Schizosaccharomyces pombe: one gene and its partner. The gene in region 2 interacts genetically with the main gene of each other region. Each region holds a gene or a part of one and is shown on either strand. Other genes may lie near its edges.

Region 1 (3,273 bases), on a different chromosome or scaffold from region 2:
CAGCAGGATTAAACACTTTCCTGACAATAAGAAAATTTATTGATTGATACGTATATGACTACGGAAACATCGGCTAATCCTTCCATGAACCGAATGACTATATGTGTCTTATGCTGATTTCGGTGAAATAGACGAAATGAGTAAAAATAAAAATGAAATGCTATTTTTTTCAAAATAATATATAGGTTAACAGTAGCAGGATTAACAAAATGAAAAAGTAAGCAAAAGCGAATGAGGGATAATCACAATAATACACTTTAAGTAAACAGGCAATAGTAATTGCTAAATTTATACTGACGACATTAAGGAAGTTTTAAATATGAACAGGCCATTTTGGCAATATAGTGCTTATCTTTGAAACTTGGTTAAAGTAGAAATTAACATAGTTCGTAAATTAGCATCATTTGTAAGATAAACAGAGATAAAACAGGAGAGTACAAAAAGAGAGAGGAATAACAAATAAGGCGATCGACGATCGCTGCAAAAGTCAGGAAATATTTCAGGGAAAACCCCGCTAATGCAAAATATATAAGGAAATTACTGAGGCTCTTCGGACCGGCTTTGTTTAGTTTCTTTCATGCTAGCAGATCTTGCTTGTTGCTAGAGTAGATGTTAGAAAAGTGACTATGAGAATGAAATTTTGGTATGAGTGAATGAATTGTTGCGCCTTCATTGCTTGAGACAATTTAAATCTCTAAGCCAACAAGGAAGTAGAAGTACACGTATCACCATTCAAATAAAGAATTTTTCCTTACCTCTCTGTATTTGGTGAGAGAAATCTTTAAAACTTCGGCATAATTTTCGAACCCAAGGGTATTTAAAGCCAATAAAACATCTTCACCAGTAATTGTCTTTCTCTTTTCTTGAGTGCATTGTTCAGATGCTATTATATGGTCAGTAAATAACTATACATGAGGCTTTTGCTATTGATTCCATACCTTCACCAGTAACAAAGGAAATAAACTCACTAACGCAATCTTGGACGCAGTCTTTAGCTTCCTAAAAAGTCAGACATTAGCACTGCAACATGAAAATTACAAAACAAAAGAGAAGAACGCACTCACAGCGACCTACTCCGTCACTAGCAATCAATCAATCGAAGAGACTGACAATGCGATTTTTCTCAATTCAACAAATCATGCATACCTTGGAAATCTTGGCGTTTTCGGGAAGTGCCGATTTCATGATACGCGCGACATTTGCAATTGGTAGGAGATTGGTGTAATCCAACCCGTCTGCGCTCATGATAATTAAATGTATCTTTTACTTGTATAATTTAATTTTGGCGAGCAGAGAAACCTCAAATAACGAAAATAAGTACACAAACCCCGCTAAAATTGGTTTGACTACTAGCAAGCACGATCCTTGACAAAAATCGACAGCTGATAACCTATTCTCGAGCCTTTGTGGAGGGAACTAAAAAGAAATCCAATAATTCAGCAGGAGATGAAGATCCTAAAAGACGAACAAATCAAATAAAAAGAAATGACCTCCTTTTGAGCAATGAACGAGGGTAATGGCTTAACGTTAACTTTCTGCTTCTTCACAAAAGAAAGTAAACGTCTATCTACTTCCAATAGGGAAAGAAATCAGTAGTTGGTTATTGCGATAAAGAAACACTATGTTATTGCAAAAGAAACAGCAATTTGTTTCTACAGGTTGCAAGCAATTCGCAGACTGACTGTATCGGCCTATAATATTATTTAAATAGTGCAGTTGTAAAGTGGGAGATTAACAAGAGATACTGAATTCGAGTGGTACGATATATCGGTTTCCGACTGGGGCATCTAACTACTATTCCACCTACTCCAGCGGCGAGCAATACTGGATGGCTCTGAGCCTTCGACGGGGCTGCGCTATTTAGGTAAGTGGGGTGAAAGGCCGAAATGGGGGCCAAAAGACTTTCAAGTGGCGTATAAGGGAAACGAGCAAGACTTTTGGAAGCTTTAAGGTCCCAAGTGGGATGAAGGTGAAGGCGAGGCGTCTTCTCTTGAAGCCAAGGTTTCCCAGTAAAAAGAAAGTGGGATGCCATCTAATCCCTATGTCACTTTTACGCTGACAAAATAATCGTGATATACGTTAAACAAGAGGAAAGGAGAGACTAGCAAAAGAAGTGTTTTGTCATTCAAGCGACGATCCTTCATACAAAAAGCAAATAAATAAATCCTTTTATAAATATCATAAACATATCATTAGAAAACCAAGAAAAATAAATAATAATATGAATTAATTTAATTCAAAAAAAAAATATAAATATAAATATAAAAAAAGAGTAGAAGCGATTGTGGAAACTGACAGCGAAATAATTATGAGACATTTATTTTACAACTTACAGAGCAAATATTAAGTTCGTTTGAAATAGTTCACAATTGGTATTTACCGTTCACATCTGATAACTGAAGAGGAATTCAATGTTATTAAAATCGTGTTTGCGAAAAAGTTAATAAAAATAACCTAGCAAAGAAGATTCGTAGAAAAATGGAATAACAAGAAAGTAAATGTATCTTATGGCAAAACTGACAATCCAGTGTTTTTTTTTTCTACATTTCATTCATCTTCACTCTCCATTCGCACGCATACCTAAATATGTTCCCGTAGGGGAAAATTGCGTATACTGAATTGTTTTGTTCTACAACTCGCATCTACTCAACTATATTCCCTACTTGACTATACTTCTGCACTTCAAAAGTCATGTGTATCTATCCTAATCTTTATATTATACAGTGGAATGCACTATAAACCTAGTTGTATTTTTATTTCTCATTTCCTATACATCAATGATATATCAGATTAAAAGTTTGCTCCTCTTTCTATCCCATCTCACCCATCATCACTTGCAACATTGGCAAGGGTAATTGAAGGCGATGCGAGCTGTGTGTTGTCAAAAGAACGAATATGTTTTTTGCCTTTACCATCATTCCTACTCTTCCGTCCTCTCGACGTCACATAGAGTAATCGAGTGCATTACTAAAGGACACTTAACTAGTCTTATTTCCATACAACGCTGAGCCGCCCATTCATTACGTTTCCTCGACGCAGGCTAATTTACGTAGAACATAATGGCAGTTTATAATATATATGGCAAGTAGCCAGTGATGGTGAAGGGTCCGCAAAAGGATAGAACTTAACCAAGATTTCTTTACATAATAAATTCATTTGCCTACAATAGTTTGGTAGTCAAGCTATTGTTAAAAGAAAATTCAAAAGTATTGCAAAGACTTGTATTCATTGCAAATAATACTTTTTCAACAATTATCAAGTCAATTTCTATTT
Region 2 (6,010 bases):
TAATAGTGGAACAATTTATTGTTTTTGTTAGTAGCTGGATTTTATTGGATTTATTTATTATTTCCTTTTTATTTTAGATTGTTAGTTTTTGAACTAATTACGAACAGCTTGTGAGGTTTCAAAAATGACTTTTAACCATCCAACCAAGCAACCTTCCAAGCAACCTTCCCATAAAGTTAACAGTTTATAGTCAGGTGTTCTAAAACAATTAGATAAATATTCATTGTTATGTTTTTCCATCAGTCGCAAGGGGCATCACTGCAATGGTGCCTCGATTTCTCTGTATTCAACTTGCTTGCTAAGCTCTAACAGCGTCCCTACATATAGTCAGCATTATTAAAATACCTTTTGTATTTCATACCTCAATCAAATATGACCATACATACTTGCAACATCATACTGTTATTATCACACCGACATGTGTTCACTAGCTATTGTGAATTTCACAAACTAGAACAAGTCTATAGTATGGATGATGTTACTAGTGATATAGCAAAAGTGAATGAGATCATAAAATTTGGGTATAAATTAAAGCATAAATGCTATATATATATATATATATATATATATATATATATATTTCATATATGCGAGATTTCTTAAAAGATATTCAAAGTTAGAAACACAATGGCAGAAGAAGGTTACGTGGCTATAGTGACTGGGGCAACAGGATTAAATGGTGCAGCTATTATTAAGAGACTGTCAGAGGATGATAATTGCAAAACTATACACTGTATTTCTCGTTCGTTGAAAGATGAATACCCTAGAAAAATCAAGCATCATTCCATAGATCTGCTAAATGAAGAACCCAAAGATATTGCAAAAAAGTTTTCTCTCGAGGGGGTTAAGGGAATAAATTATGCATACTTTGCAGCTTATAAAGAAGAAAATAATGAAGAAAAGTTGTGTGAAGTTAACGGTAACATGTTGAGAAACTTTGTGCAAGCATTAGAACTTACTTCCATTCAAACTTTGAGACGCGTAATTCTAACCACTGGTCTAAAATTTTATGGATTACATTTAGGAGAAGTTCGTTTGCCAATGATTGAGACAGACATACGAGTACCTGAAACATTTAGTGGAACTCCAAATTTTTACTACGTTCAAGAAGATATTCTTAAAGAATTTAGTAACGGTAAAAAATGGGACTACACCATAGCTATGCCGAATGATATTTGCGGAGTATCAAAAGGAAGCTACATGAATGAAGCATTCACTATAGCATTATATGCTTTGGTTTGCAGGGAGCTTCATGAACCGTTCCGATTTCCAGGAAATGAAAAGTTCTATCTCGGCTTCGATGATATCTCGTATTCAAAGCTAATTGCTGATTTTCAATTATGGATGACATTTAAAGCAGAATGCAGTGAAGAGAAATTCAACATTGTAAACGGAGATATTCACAGTTGGTCAAGAACTTGGCCTAAAATAGCCGAATATTTTGGGGTCGAGGTACCAAAAAACCAATTTGCAACGGATTTTACATTAAGTACAGAAGTTACTTTAAGTACACCTTCTCCCATAAATCTGTACGAAAAAGAGCTCGGCATTAAACATACCCCCAATAGTAAAATAATAAACCAAATATCGCTTCAACAATGGGTCAAGCAAAAGAAAGTCCAAGACGCTTGGAGGACAATCGCAGAAAGAGAAAAACTCAATGCTCATGCTTTAGAAGTTGGGACTTGGGCGTTTTGTGATTTTTTGTTCGGCAGGACGTACAACGTTATATCCTCAATGAGCAAAGCCAGGAAGCTTGGTTACACTGATTACTATGATACCTTTGATGGATTTAAAGAGACATTTGATGAATTAAAAAAACAGAAACAAATCCCACAAAATTAGTCGAACTCATGAATTTCTCATTTTTTATTTTATATAAAAAATTTGAAGAATGTTCGAATCTCAGAAATGGAAGAAACTAATTCAACTTTTTCTTCGACAGTTTACTAATCAAATAGTCAAGCAATGAATGAATCACCCAATGAAATCAATTCTTTGTCAAGAATTTTATAAAAGTATTCTAGAATACATCGGGTAATATATTTGACCCGTATGTTATATTGAATAAACCTGCATTTTCAAGCCTCCAAAAGTTGAGTAAGCAAAGTGCTAATGCCGATACACAGTATTTTTTTAAAAAAAATACAGCCCTGGTATTTTGCCCGAATCATAAAGCCAGGCCCAAGGAGGATTTTTTGTTATCATGTAAAATATGTAAAGAATAAATTTTTCACATTTTGCTTGCCTTTCTTTTTTCACACAAATAAATTGCTACTAGCAACTGTTTAACCTATATGACCTCAAACGAATGTATGTGGCTCGTCTGCTTATTCAAATCATCAATATCGAACCGAGTTTCTATTTCATCATGATAAAGGCATAAAGACTTTTAACCCAAGCAACAGGTTAAGAGAACAAATCGAGAATACTGAAGAAAAAAAAAGGAAACAGAAATTCCCAGTCGTTCAAACCTTAGAATCCACTGTATCGTAACTCACCTTTTCACTTTCGGAAATTTGAACAGAAATCGAGTTTTTTGATACGTTTTCTAATTCTTTATTTTTCTCTAGAACTTCGTCCTCTCTGTCATTTCCTACTTGCACTGGAGGTGTAAATTTTTTCTTAAAGTAATTATGCATGGAAATACCAAACAAACCTGCTAGAACAAAGGCACCGCATATACATCCACCGACTATTTCGTAATTATCAGATAATCTATTGAGGCCATTCCAAAATGTACTTTCCATTGGGTGGACACTTATGATTAGCATAAGCATTTGAATGATACCAATTGTAAATGCTGCTATAACCGAAACAAATGTTAAAATTATGGAGTAATAAAGCCTAGAGAAATAAGGATTGGTTTCACCCGAAGAATATGAGTAAGCATAATACATTAATGCTCCATCTGTGGTATCAACTAAGCACATTCCAACAAGAAATACAATGGGGAAAAGTAAGATTGCCCATATAGATGTTCCTTTTAAGGCTTGCAAGGTTGCGATACCCAACAAGGAAACCTCAGTACTGGTATCAAATCCCAATCCGAAAACAAAACCAAGTACATAAATCTTCCACGGAGAGTCAACCAATCTAAACAATCTCTGCATTTTTCGAGCTAAGAATCCGGTGACCCCTTCATCTTTAGTGACACCAGATTTGCGATACATCCAAAGCCAATACGATAACCGGACTAGTAAAACGGTATTTCCAATTGCCAACAAAAGTAATAGTCCCATGCTAACTGAAGTTCCAATTATTCCTCCTATGGTTTGAAAGTTATTCCATCGATCTGCAAACTTACTGGAAGTAGCTGCTACTACGATGCAAGTTATAAGGACTACAGTTGAATGACCAATGCTGAACCAAGTTCCAACTGTTGACATTGGTTTGTCTGTTGATAATAAACGGCGCGTTAAGTTGTCAATTGCAGTAATATGATCAGCATCGAGAGCGTGTCTTAAACCAAGTGTCCAAGATAATAAAACTGAGAGAAATAACGATCTGTTAACTAAACTGATGACTATTGCCGCAACTATCCAAACTACGATATTTACCGATATCAAAGAAAAGATAGGCACGCTAACCTTTGGTGGAAGCTTTGATAGAAAGGGTATTTCGAAATAAAAATTCTCAAACTTCCTTAGAAATTCATTTTTTCTAGGTTTAACATATTCAGACATACTGTTCATACAAATAAACGCGTAATTTGAATAGATTGCGTTCACATAAACCTGTATCCACTTAGGATTCCAATAATAATAACAATTTTACCTAATATCACAACAGTTCTGCAACGCACTGTAGTAGTTTACTTTAAAGGAAGTAAATCGCTTGAGTTTGTGAGAAACGAACTTGGTTGACTCACAAAGTTCCTATCCTCAACACAATGGTAAAAGAATTGAATAGTGCAGAGTGTAGAAAAGATGAGCAGGTGATTTCAAAGGGTAAAATCAAAGCGATCATGAAGGATACTGCTGTAGTGCAACCTATCAAAGTCATATTTAATTCACGTGTCGCAGATTCATCTCGTAAGCAGCAACGACCGATATGGCGGTGATGCTTAAACGTGTTTATTGTCAGCAATACTACACTACGCTATGATACACTACGTTGAGTATCACTATATGTCACATGTTCTAATTATATATCGTACCATGTATGATACGATATGGAGATTGATCTTAATGATAATCTATTAAGATCAATATTATCTGAATACTATAAATAGAGCTACTGCTGAACCTCGTTCCTCAGTTCAGTTATGAGCTATATTAGTGATAGGTAACATTATAACCCAGTTAATACAATACCTATACTCAGTTGCTACTTATACAACCTGTGTATTGTAATATAATAGATCACAAGGAAAACTCACCGCAGTTCTACGTATCTTTAAATCAGATACCAAACTGCGTAGCTTACATATAAATTACATAACGCTAATGTCATACAACACCGTATTCGTCTGATTTGTCTACAAAAATGTAAACAAACAATTATTTTATCGCATTGATACAACAAACCAATTGAATATCGCCTTTTGAAGCATAAACTTTGCATTTAAAAGATGAATAAACAAAGGAAGAAGTTAATTGGATCTCACACCGCATAAACGATGCATAAAGTTTGATGTGGTGTCGTAACGGTGTATTATAGGTTGTTAACTGAGAGGTAAACATCAAACGTTTTCCGATTGGGTCCATGAATAAAGACTAAAAATGAGTAAATGTAAACAAACCCGACTATATATTGAGACTATTTTGTCAATTGAAATTCATAACCTCACTTCCATTCATACAGCTAAACATTTTTCAGGATTTTAGCTTGAAAAATGGGAAAACAAATAAACCAGTATCTTTAGAGGTTGTCAGTATCCATATCTTAAACAAAAGGTTAAATGCGGTTATGAGTGTCATCAAGCACGTTTCCGTAATGAATTAAAATTCAACAAAATACAGCGTGATAAAACAACGATACAAATCTTGATTTTACAAGTTATCGTTTGTTCTTTGTGATTATGTTTATCATTATCATCATTTACTTTTATTAATATGATGACTAGCTTTCCTACCCAAAAGCATGTTATTGTATTAGTAATTTGGTTACCCGAAAAAGTATAAAAACTTTTTCACTGGCTACCCTCTTTTGGTTACTTCCTATGGTTGTAAATATTTGGAACATCTTTACTTTCCTTCTTCATCGTTTTAGGAAAGACGACATTGTTCTTTATATTTCGCATTACTGCATGGTCGGTGAATCATTTATTTGACCAATGATTCAAGTCTTGTAATCCCCCAGTTCATTAAGAGGATTTCAGTTTCTTCTTTTAATAAGTTTAGTGTCGTCATTGAAGATTAGGTCAAAACAATGGCAATATCTGGCCCCATTTGTTTAAAATTATATTTTCTATCTTGTTTTCAATTTTCAATATTCGGAAAAGCTTCATTTTTTGAGATAACTTAAGAGAGATTTTTACATTGCTATGTACATTTAATTATGCCCACATAGATTGGATACCCAATAAAATTTGTGAAATTTTCAAATAAGCATATGCTTTGTAACAATATAGGATATCGGCGGTTCATTTGTTTTCAGTGCCAAGTCGATCTTTTAATGAGGAAATAATGAGTAGACTGTAAGAATTTCAATATTGAAACGTAAATTAGATAAATGCACTTTCGTCTCTATTTGTTAGGTAAAAAAATGCGAGATTAAATTTGTTTCACACTATTTTTCTAACGATCAATATATTCAACTATTTTCTGAATTTATCTTTTACAATAACAGTCAGGTATATTGACTTTTTGATTAAATTTAGAATATGTGAAAGTATTTTGCTGTTTTAGTGACTCTAAGCAATATTTATAATGTCGTCTACCGCATATTCCCAATAACCGATTATGTACTTGTAAAATCACTCAATTAATATTTTTATAATCTTTAGCCTTATAAACTTCAAGTTTTTTTTTTAAATTCGAATAAGCAAAGAACCTTTCATTTGTAG

The links. A genetic interaction does not mean that the proteins touch.
Region 1: mutations in nic1 (region 2) and php3 together harm fitness less than expected from each alone (positive genetic interaction), as found in Schizosaccharomyces pombe (one large-scale study listed by BioGRID).

The regions. Positions count from the first base shown.
Region 1 is NC_003424.3:2,143,653-2,146,925, reverse strand, and holds php3 (CCAAT-binding factor complex subunit Php3), read right to left. Parts: upstream 1,246-3,273; coding exon 1,147-1,245; intron 1,000-1,146; coding exon 939-999; intron 884-938; coding exon 756-883; intron 601-755; coding exon 538-600; downstream 1-537. Other genes in the region: SPOM_SPAC23C11.07 (uncharacterized protein), read right to left, coding at 1,700-2,032. UniProt on the Schizosaccharomyces pombe protein: Belongs to a complex that binds to the sequence CCAAT located upstream of genes involved in mitochondrial electron transport.
Region 2 is NC_003421.2:41,530-47,539, reverse strand, and holds nic1 (plasma membrane NiCoT heavy metal ion transmembrane transporter Nic1), read right to left. Parts: upstream 3,998-6,010; 5' UTR 3,696-3,997; coding exon 2,469-3,695; 3' UTR 1,846-2,468; coding exon of another isoform or gene 628-1,845; 3' UTR 555-627; downstream 1-554. Other genes in the region: SPOM_SPCC757.02C (epimarase), read left to right, coding at 628-1,845.